2 linked regions of the Drosophila melanogaster genome follow. The protein of the gene in region 1 interacts with the protein of each later gene in a pairwise test. Each region holds a gene or a part of one and is shown in the gene's direction. Other genes may lie near its edges.

Evidence for each region.
Region 2: the proteins of CG7024 (region 1) and CG13407 interact in a two-hybrid assay, tested with the Drosophila melanogaster proteins (one large-scale study listed by BioGRID).

Annotation. Positions count from the first base shown.
Region 1 is NC_004354.4:4,703,486-4,708,264, forward strand, and holds CG7024 (uncharacterized protein), read left to right. Parts: upstream 1-1,823; 5' UTR 1,824-2,078; coding exon 2,079-2,201; intron 2,202-2,519; coding exon 2,520-3,836; 3' UTR 3,837-4,019; downstream 4,020-4,779. Other genes in the region: Pdha (pyruvate dehydrogenase E1 alpha subunit), read left to right, coding at 70-634, 710-1,032, 1,103-1,285.
Region 2 is NT_033777.3:22,101,706-22,106,214, forward strand, and holds CG13407 (uncharacterized protein), read left to right. Parts: upstream 1-1,708; coding exon 1,709-1,797; intron 1,798-2,364; coding exon 2,365-2,550; intron 2,551-2,825; coding exon 2,826-3,885; downstream 3,886-4,509.

The DNA of each region.
Region 1 (4,779 bases):
GTAGAAAACGTTTTTAAAATTAATGAAGTTTAGGGATCTAAATTCTAAATATGCTTTCCAACTTTGCAGCCCTTCAAGCTGCACCGCCTGGACGAAGGACCCGCCACGGAAGTGAAGCTGACCAAGGATCAGGCCCTCAAGTACTACACACAGATGCAGACGATCCGTCGGTTGGAGACGGCCGCCGGTAATCTGTACAAGGAGAAGATCATTCGCGGCTTCTGTCATCTGTATTCCGGCCAGGAGGCATGCGCCGTTGGCATGAAGGCGGCGATGCGGGATGTGGACAACATCATCTCGGCGTACCGTGTCCACGGATGGACCTACCTGATGGGCGTCTCACCCAGCGGCGTACTGGCTGAGCTCACCGGTGTCCAGGGTGGCTGTGCCCGCGGCAAGGGTGGCTCCATGCACATGTACGCACCGAACTTCTACGGAGGCAATGGCATCGTGGGTGCTCAAGTTCCTTTGGGTGCCGGCGTTGGCTTGGCCTGCAAGTACAAGGGCAATGGCGGCATGTGCCTGGCCCTCTACGGTGATGGTGCCGCCAATCAAGGACAGGTGTTCGAGGCTTACAACATGGCCTACCTGTGGAAACTGCCTGTGATCTTTGTCTGCGAGAACAACAACTACGGTGAGTGCTGTAGAAAGTGGAACAATGCTAAAAGATATTTACTTAAACCAAATGTTGTATAATTATACCCATTAGGAATGGGCACCAGTTCTGAGCGTGCTTCCTGCAACACTGATTACTATACCCGCGGCGACGCTCTGCCCGGAATCTGGGTGGACGGCATGGATGTGCTGGCCGTGCGCAGCGCCACCGAGTTCGCCATCAACTATGTGAACACTCACGGACCTTTGGTGATGGAGACGAACACGTACCGATACTCTGGACACTCCATGTCCGATCCGGGCACATCGTACCGCACACGCGAGGAGATCCAGGAGGTGCGCCAGAAGCGTGATCCCATCACCTCCTTCAAGGAGCTGTGCATCGAGCTGGGTCTGATTACCACCGATGAAGTTAAGGTGGGTTTGGCTTATAGGGTTTTATTTTTGTTATGAGTTATGATTGCTAAAAGAAAAAAACATCTTCCAGGCCATCGATCTGAAGGTACGCAAGGAGGTCGACGAGGCCACCGCCTTCGCCAAGTCCGATGCCGAGCTGGGCGTGAGCCACCTCTGGACGGACGTGTACTCCAACAATCTGGAGCCCAAGCTGCGCGGCACCATCGCCTACGATATTGATCACATCCAGGAGCGCAAGGGCGTCAATCACTAAGTCATCGGGCCAACGAATCTGATTCGGGAACTCACAAGAACCTTAAACGAAACAAGAAAACCGAACAGCAAACACAAATCACTGACAGACAGACAAGAAGACACAATAACTCAGAAACTTGGACACAAGCGAAATCTCTAGATCATAAGCCGAAAGTTGAACGATGAGAACCCCGTAGAACGGAACGGATCCGAAGAGACCCACAAAAAGCTTAGCTAATCGGAGCACTCCAACCACACATCGTAGCGCACCACATAACTCTGGGGTACTGCATTGGATATTATATTGCGAACGTGTTCAATAAGGATAAAGCGAGGTGTAAATTGTTGAAAATATAAAAATCTAGAAAAATTAATCCAAATTAGTTTTCTTAACAAAAGTGAATCAAGTATGTACTTTTGAAATGTGAAAATCTCAGTCTGTTTCACCTATACTTGCACTATAGAATTTTGATAGATTTATAAGATATTAATAAACGGAATAGATTTAATAGATAATTCGATTTGTGGAAGAATTACAGTTCGAATCAAAGTAGTATTTGAAAAGGAGCAGTTGTCAGCTCCATAAGCAATCCCAAAATCGTTATATTTCCTTCTCGTTCTGTTTAGTGACAGTTGCCATCTCTGTCGATTTGCTTATGATTTTACTGTCGATTTCTTTTCGGTTGAGTACAAATCCATTTTTCAACAATTTCCGATCATATTCAAAATTTTAGTGCGTGGCAATTGCCCATTTGGCTACAAGCTCATTTTAGTGCCCCGGTGTTTGGGAATTGGTATTCGGGCAAGGGCCAATGATGAAGTTCAGTTGTGTCCGCGTGGCGATGAGATGCAGTGGAGCCCACTCCATCCTCGAGAGAAATATGCTCTGCAGGATAATAGGGCGCCACAAATGTAGCTGTTTGACCCTGGAGAACGTAAGTGTTTTGATTATCACAAGAAGGTCAATGGATAAGTAAATACCATTGAAAAAAGCTATATCGTAAAAGTTATATTTTTCATTTTGAATTAAATTATGTACTCTGAAAAATGTTTAAATATTTGCTGTTAAGTATAGCTGATATAAATCTAACATAGAAACGACTTAATCTGCTCATCGCGTAGACCAACACTGAATATAGACATAAGCTGCTGATATTTTTCAGTGCTGCACAACACATAGATTCTTCTTGCGTTCCTACTAGAGCAGCATTCCGAAATGGGTTACTTTAATGATTTTGTTATGCCCGTTGCAGACGTTCAAGTGCTACGACCTGGAGAATGGACCCACAATGGACGTGGAGCTGTCCAGGGAGGACGCCCTGACGATGTACACGCAGATGCTGGAACTGCGCCGGTTCGAGACGGTGGCGGGCAACTACTATAAGGAGCGAAAAATCCGCGGCTTCTGCCATTTATATAACGGACAGGAGGCCGTCGCTGTTGGCATGAAGCAGCGTTTGAGGTCCTGCGACTCGGTCATAACGGCATACCGTTGTCATGCCTGGACCTATTTAATGGGTGTTTCCCTTTACGAAATAATGGCGGAATTGTTCGGAGTTCGAACTGGATGCAGCCGGGGCAAAGGTGGCTCTATGCACATGTACAGCGATAAGTTTTATGGCGGCAATGGTATCGTTGGTGCCCAAGTTCCGCTCGGCGCGGGAATTGGCCTCGCGCACAGTTATCGCAAGGACAACGGCGTGTCGGTGGTCCTTTATGGTGATGGTGCCGCCAATCAGGGCCAGATCTTTGAGTCCTTCAACATGGCCAAGCTGTGGTGCTTGCCCTGCATATTCGTTTGCGAGAACAATCACTACGGCATGGGCACCCACGTTAAGCGGGCCTCTGCCATGACGGAGTTCTACATGCGTGGCCAATATATCCCTGGTCTTTGGGTCGATGGCAATCAGGTGCTGGCCGTGCGTAGCGCCACCCAATTCGCCGTGGACCATGCCCTCAAGCACGGACCCATTGTGCTCGAGATGAGCACCTATCGCTATGTGGGTCACTCCATGTCCGATCCGGGTACATCGTATCGCTCGAGAGAAGAAGTCCAATCGACGAGGGAGAAACGCGATCCGATTACAAGTTTTCGCAGTCAGATCATCGCCTTGTGTCTCGCCGACGAGGAGGAGCTGAAGGCCCTGGATGATAAGACTAGGAAGCAGGTGGATAGCATTTGCAAGAAAGCCACCACCGACAGGGAGGTAGAACTTGATGAGCTGCACACCGATATCTATGCCAAGAATGTGGATGGTAAGATCCGCGGCGTGTCCGGATTCCATTTAGAGCACATCAAGCTGGCGGAGGTGTGCTTTGGCAAGCCGAAGAAGACGCCGGCCAGCGAGATCAACGACGTGCCAGTGGGCGCAGAGATTGACGTGGCCAAGGCCAAGGAAAGGAAGGCCAAGCAGGATGCCAAGAAGGCCAAGGAAGCCAAGGAACCTAAAGGTGGCGACAAGAAGGGCGCCGACGCCAAGCAGCCCAAAGGCGAGGGCGACGATGGCGATAAGAAGCCAAAACCAGCCGCACAGCCGCCCACCAAGGCGCCACCCGCTCCCAAAAAGTAGTATGCCCCCACGGAATGGAACACCATCGTTAGCTTTTCAGCAAGTTGAAAGTTTCGCCAGAGTGCTTTAGCTGGTTTCTGAACCCAAAAGACGCAAGCAAATTTATGTAAAACATATACAGTATGATTCCGTTTTGAGTTGGAAATGGCGAACTTAAAATATATATTAATTAATTATATTAGTAATGCAGTTTTCGTTTTAATTTTTTGCTTTTTGATTTGAAGTATAAGCATTTGTATTGAAAGTTTGAAAGTTGAAAGCATAGATTATGAAAAGATACGGTACTTTTCAGAGCTTTTGGGCAAAGCGTTTGGAGCTTTTTCTAACGGACACCTGTAGCAACGCGCTCCATTTCGCGCTCCTTGGCGGCAACTGGCTGGCTAATCGAGCGGATCTGTGGGGAGATCAGAGCGGTGCACTCATTTTATCATTCCGCCTAAATGGCTTCTTATTATTCTTCTTGGTCTTATCTCTACCGTTCGGTTGAGATGAGAGCCACGCGCTGTGCACCCGCCCTCTCTCACGTCCGCACCCTCTCGCTCGCACACCTGCCCGTTGTGCGGGGAATATAGTCGATATGACCGATCGGGGGATTCAGTCTCCTCGCGATGCTCTGGCGTTGATCTTCGCCGATCTTCACGTGCTAACCGAGGTCTTTCCTGTCGCCAGTCCACTCTTTTTTTTTTTGTTTTTCTTTTCTTTTCACTGCGGGTGTGTGTGTGTGTTTTTTTGGTTTCTATTGTAAAGTGTGTGGATTGATTGATTGAGGAGCATAAACATACATGTGCAAATAATCTAAACAAATTAATAACAAATAATAACAAACTATTAATGTGTTCAATATGAAGTATGAATTACACCATGAGTTGTGCAATAAAATCATTTAATTTGTGAAATTAGGCTCGCATTTAATGTAAATGGCAAAAATGCCATAAAAATGGCT
Region 2 (4,509 bases), on another chromosome or scaffold:
GATATGCTTCCCTTTTTTTTGGAAGAATCAGCAAAAGTCCTCTAGTTTCTTTTCCATAGTTTTTTGCCCAACATTTCCTGTGGGCCAAATTTTTGGGGGTTGGGGCAGCGCGACAAATCAAAGCGTTACAAAGCTGGAAAATGTGTGGAAAAGTTGCAGTGCAATTTATTATATGCTTTTGATTCTGCAAATCTAGCTGATGTTGTTCTTTCTTTTTTGTTTTGCTCCACGTTGTCGCTAGCACTGCGGAAATGTTAAATATTTGTTATTGCAGTCTAATGTTTCCGCTTTACGAAAGACAACAGACAGGGATTTTTCGAGACTGTGCTATGTTTGTGATCGAAGAGTTGTATACTTCTTGTTTAAAAGTAGTATATATATTACAATTAAATATAGTTAGAAAAAGTTAGTGGAAGATCAGAGCACTTGTAGTGTGTGATAACTGATATAAGCAGCACTAATATACCCCATAAAATTCAATTCAATATAAAAATCTTTTCTGGCAATGAAAACTATTAGCCCCAGTCATAAATCTTTAAGACCAAAGGCGTGGATGTGGAGAAGTGGAAGTGGACCCCAACCAAAAGCCGGGTTCGACTAACCGCACAAGGGACCACAAGAACCGAGCTCCATTTGGCTGCACAGACGACAGTGGCAAAGTCTGGGCCAGACATGGCACAATTATGACAATTTCTGATGCATAACGCTGCATCCATAGAGCTTTTAATGCAATAAACAAGCGACTGGAGCGTCATTAACACTGACAGGAATCGGTAAGGGTAGGGAGTAGGAGGAGTGTAGGGGGGGGGGGGTTGATGCCAAGGAGCATTCCCGGCCTTTTGTCGCTCACTAATTGTCTGGCCTGGCCGAAATGTGCAGCGCATGCATGCAACGCAACGCTCCAATTCAGGTGTGTGTCAGTTGGCCGTTGTCGCCACAAAACACTTTGCCGGCAATTGTCAGCTGGCTTTTGGGTACGTGTTACGAACAGTGATGGGAAATGGAAATACTTTCTCCACGGAGTACAAAATTAAATTAAGATACTAAAGATTACCTTTCCTGAAATTCAATAAAGAAGCAATATAGCAAAGTGGATAAAGTAAGGAGCTCTCGTTTAGAATCTATAACTTCTTCTTTTAATAAGTGAGTTACTATGTTTTTTGTAATTTTTGTACTTGTACCTAGTTTAAGTATTGGTACAAATGCTTTGCTCGAGCCGTACCTGCCAACACTGCCATTGAGTAGTTGTTTTAAGGCCGTTGCAGTTGCAAGTTGCTAGTTGTAGCCAAACTCACTTAGCAGCTGACAATGACAGTCGCCTGCCTCTCTTCTTTCCCGCATCACCAGCAACACCACTATCAGCACCACCACGATTACCACCCACTTCAAGTTCACCTGCGTTAATAGCCGCCTGCCAGGCAAGTGTCTGGGAAAGGCTTTGCCCAGTTGCCTAAACGACATTGTCACTTGCGGTTGGTTGGGCGCATCATCTCCTGCTGCTTCAGCCCCAAACTCCAGTTCGTCGTGCTCGTCCTGTTAGTCCTGATCGTCCTGTTTGCGGCTTCTGCAGTCGAGTTGCCATCGGTTTATGGCAGGTTGAGCACCAGCGACAATGAGCCACGCTGGTGCACCGTGTAGTGATAAACATGCGCGCTTTTCGGCACAAATCAATTAGCAATTGAATTTGGTGAACTCAAAGACGGTGAAAATGTCCGACGGCCAAATGACAAATCAACTCAACGTGCAACAGCAGGAACAACATCCGCTGCTTTCAGCCATCTCAGGAAATAATTATGCGTAAGCCATGGTCAAAGGCATTGGGATGTCGACTGTATTTGCCATACAGCCAAATCAAATTAAATTTGATATAATTAAGAAGTGGCACACTCACTCAGTTCCCTAGAATTATATTGTTAATCTGAACTCGCTTAAGTGCTTTTTATATATTTATCAAGAAGTCCTGCTAAACAACATCGTAAATAATGAATTAATTCTTTTTCAGTCATTGATATATGCAAAACTTAAACGCTTTAACAAACTTCTTTCTTCTATCCTACGTAATATTAATAATCGCTTAAAGGAGCCTTGAAAGAGTTTAGTCAGTTGCAACAGGATAAAGTGTGCTCTTTGGCTTAAAGATTAAGTGCTGGAGTGCCGGAGGCAACTGCAATCGCAAACGACCCCTGGCCCAAAAGACAGCCACTGCGGGCGCGGACTGATACCTCAGGCACTTAGCCGGGCTAATGTGGGACACAAACAGAAGCGGCGTCTCGGCCACACAACCACATGCCCAACCCCCCCCCCCCCCCACTCACTCATCCGCTTGCCCGCTTTCACCACTCACCTTCTAACCTTCTCTTGCAGTCAAACGCAGCGTGTGCATTACTATCCCAACCACTACTACCCGAGCCACTACTTGCCGGGCCATTACCACCAAGGACACCAAGGATACCAGGGGCAGCAGGGACGACCACCGCTCCTGGCGGCCGCCAGCAGCCACAACGGTGCTTATGCGGCCACGGCGGCTGGCAGCGGACACTCCGGCTACGGGTAAGCAAAGAACCACCGCTGCACTGAGAGAAAAGCAATGGGATGAACAAGAAAATTCATTCCAAATATACAAAGAAATTAAACTGTTATGAAAAAATATAAATAACTATTTGAAGATGAATATATACTTAATAATATTGATACTAATGAATACTAAAGTTTCGAACTTATCAACCTAAATTACCTATTTCTTCCTGTGCACTGGCCATCAAAGTCAAACCATAACCCCAATTCCAGTGCAAGTTCCGCATCTAATGCCAGTTTGAATTTTGCAGCGGCATAGAGCCATCCGTGGAGTACGAGCTGCAGCATGACCCACCCTCGGGTAGCTTCTCCTCCTTTCATCCCAGTAGTGCGGGCAGTGGGCCCGCATATCCATCTGCCCACCATCCGCCGGCTGGTCCACCACCGGCTCCTCCGCCCACCAAATCGTCAAAGAAATCGAAGAAGAGCAGCGGTTCGGTGATGAACGCACTAACGCTGCTCTCGTTCTTCTTCTTTGTTAACATGCTGCAGAACTGCCTGAAGGATCATATGGCTGACATGAATCCCACCGTGATGGTGCTCACAGCCAGCGGCACTCGCAATCGTTTCAACAAATTAGCCGAGATGAATTCACGCGAACAGACCTCGACAACGGCCACCGAATCGGTAACGGCATCGGCAGCGGCATCATCTTGGAATCATCAGGCTGCTTTAGTTCCGGCCGTCGAGCCAAGTGTGCCGCCCTCCATTGTTACGCCCACGGTGGTGCTGCAATCGCCCTACAGCCGTCACACGGAGATGGCCAATAAGCCGCCCCAACGCCAGCCAATGGAGTACCAGTCGAACCCTCAGCAAAATCATCACGATTATCGGCCCCACAACGCGAATGATGATGCTTATAATTACGGGCAGCGCCGACCTCCGCCTCAGACCTTCTCCACCTCCGATGGCGGCGATTTCTATCCTAATCGCACACACATCGACCACTCGTCCCGGCCCGACTTTGAATCGGAGTCGGGCTCCGATTACTATCAGCACCACTATAACCCGTATGCTGGCACAAACTCCCATCGGCATCCTTGGTCTTATGGCAGGCAGCGTTACTCATCCGCACCGTGGTCTTCAGCTTCGTTGGGCGCTCAGTCGGGCGTGAGCTCTTACTTGGATAATGCCCAGCGACGGCAAGGTGATGATGACGATGGTCATGGTTATGGCTATGGCTATGGCCACAGGGATAGGGATCGGGATAGGGATAGGGATACGGATGCAGATGGTTTCTGGGATGAGGACGAGAATGGTCAGCAGCGGCGACGCAGCGATGCTTTCTATACTCGCACACGCATTAATTGAATGCAAGAATTCCGCGCACATTTCTATGTTGCATGGCGGGGATTTGCTGCATTAACCCATTGCACAAAAATGGGGTGGCATAATGTGGATGGGCAAAAAAAGATGTGAATGGATTTTTTTTTAGAACAGCTAAAGCAGCGTTTATAGCTTATGGCATTTTACATTCTGTAAATATTATCCACGCTCTTTCGTTGTAGCTTAAAAATACCACATTTAACTTACTTGTATTATTGATTTTCATATAAAGTTATAATACGATATAAGAATTATTTTACATTACCTTTAAAAGTTGTATATCATAATGCACGACCGAGGGTTAAAAATGCTTAGCTTACATGTATTTATAATTAAAAGCAAACAACGTGCATAAGAGCTGACAAAAAATGAATGGAAAAAGGCGATGAGGCGGTGAGGCAGACAGACACACCCGGCAAGTTGGAATCGTAATGAAAATAAATGCTAATTTGTTGCACAACAAATTAAAAGTGCCCCCAGATTTTGCCTGGCGCTTGGCTAAGACTTTATTTTATTGCCTGCCACAGCAACTAAGTTGCAATTTTCCGGACTCACACACCCGTTTGTCTAATACAAATCTGTTGCATTGCTACCTAGCTAGCAGTTTAC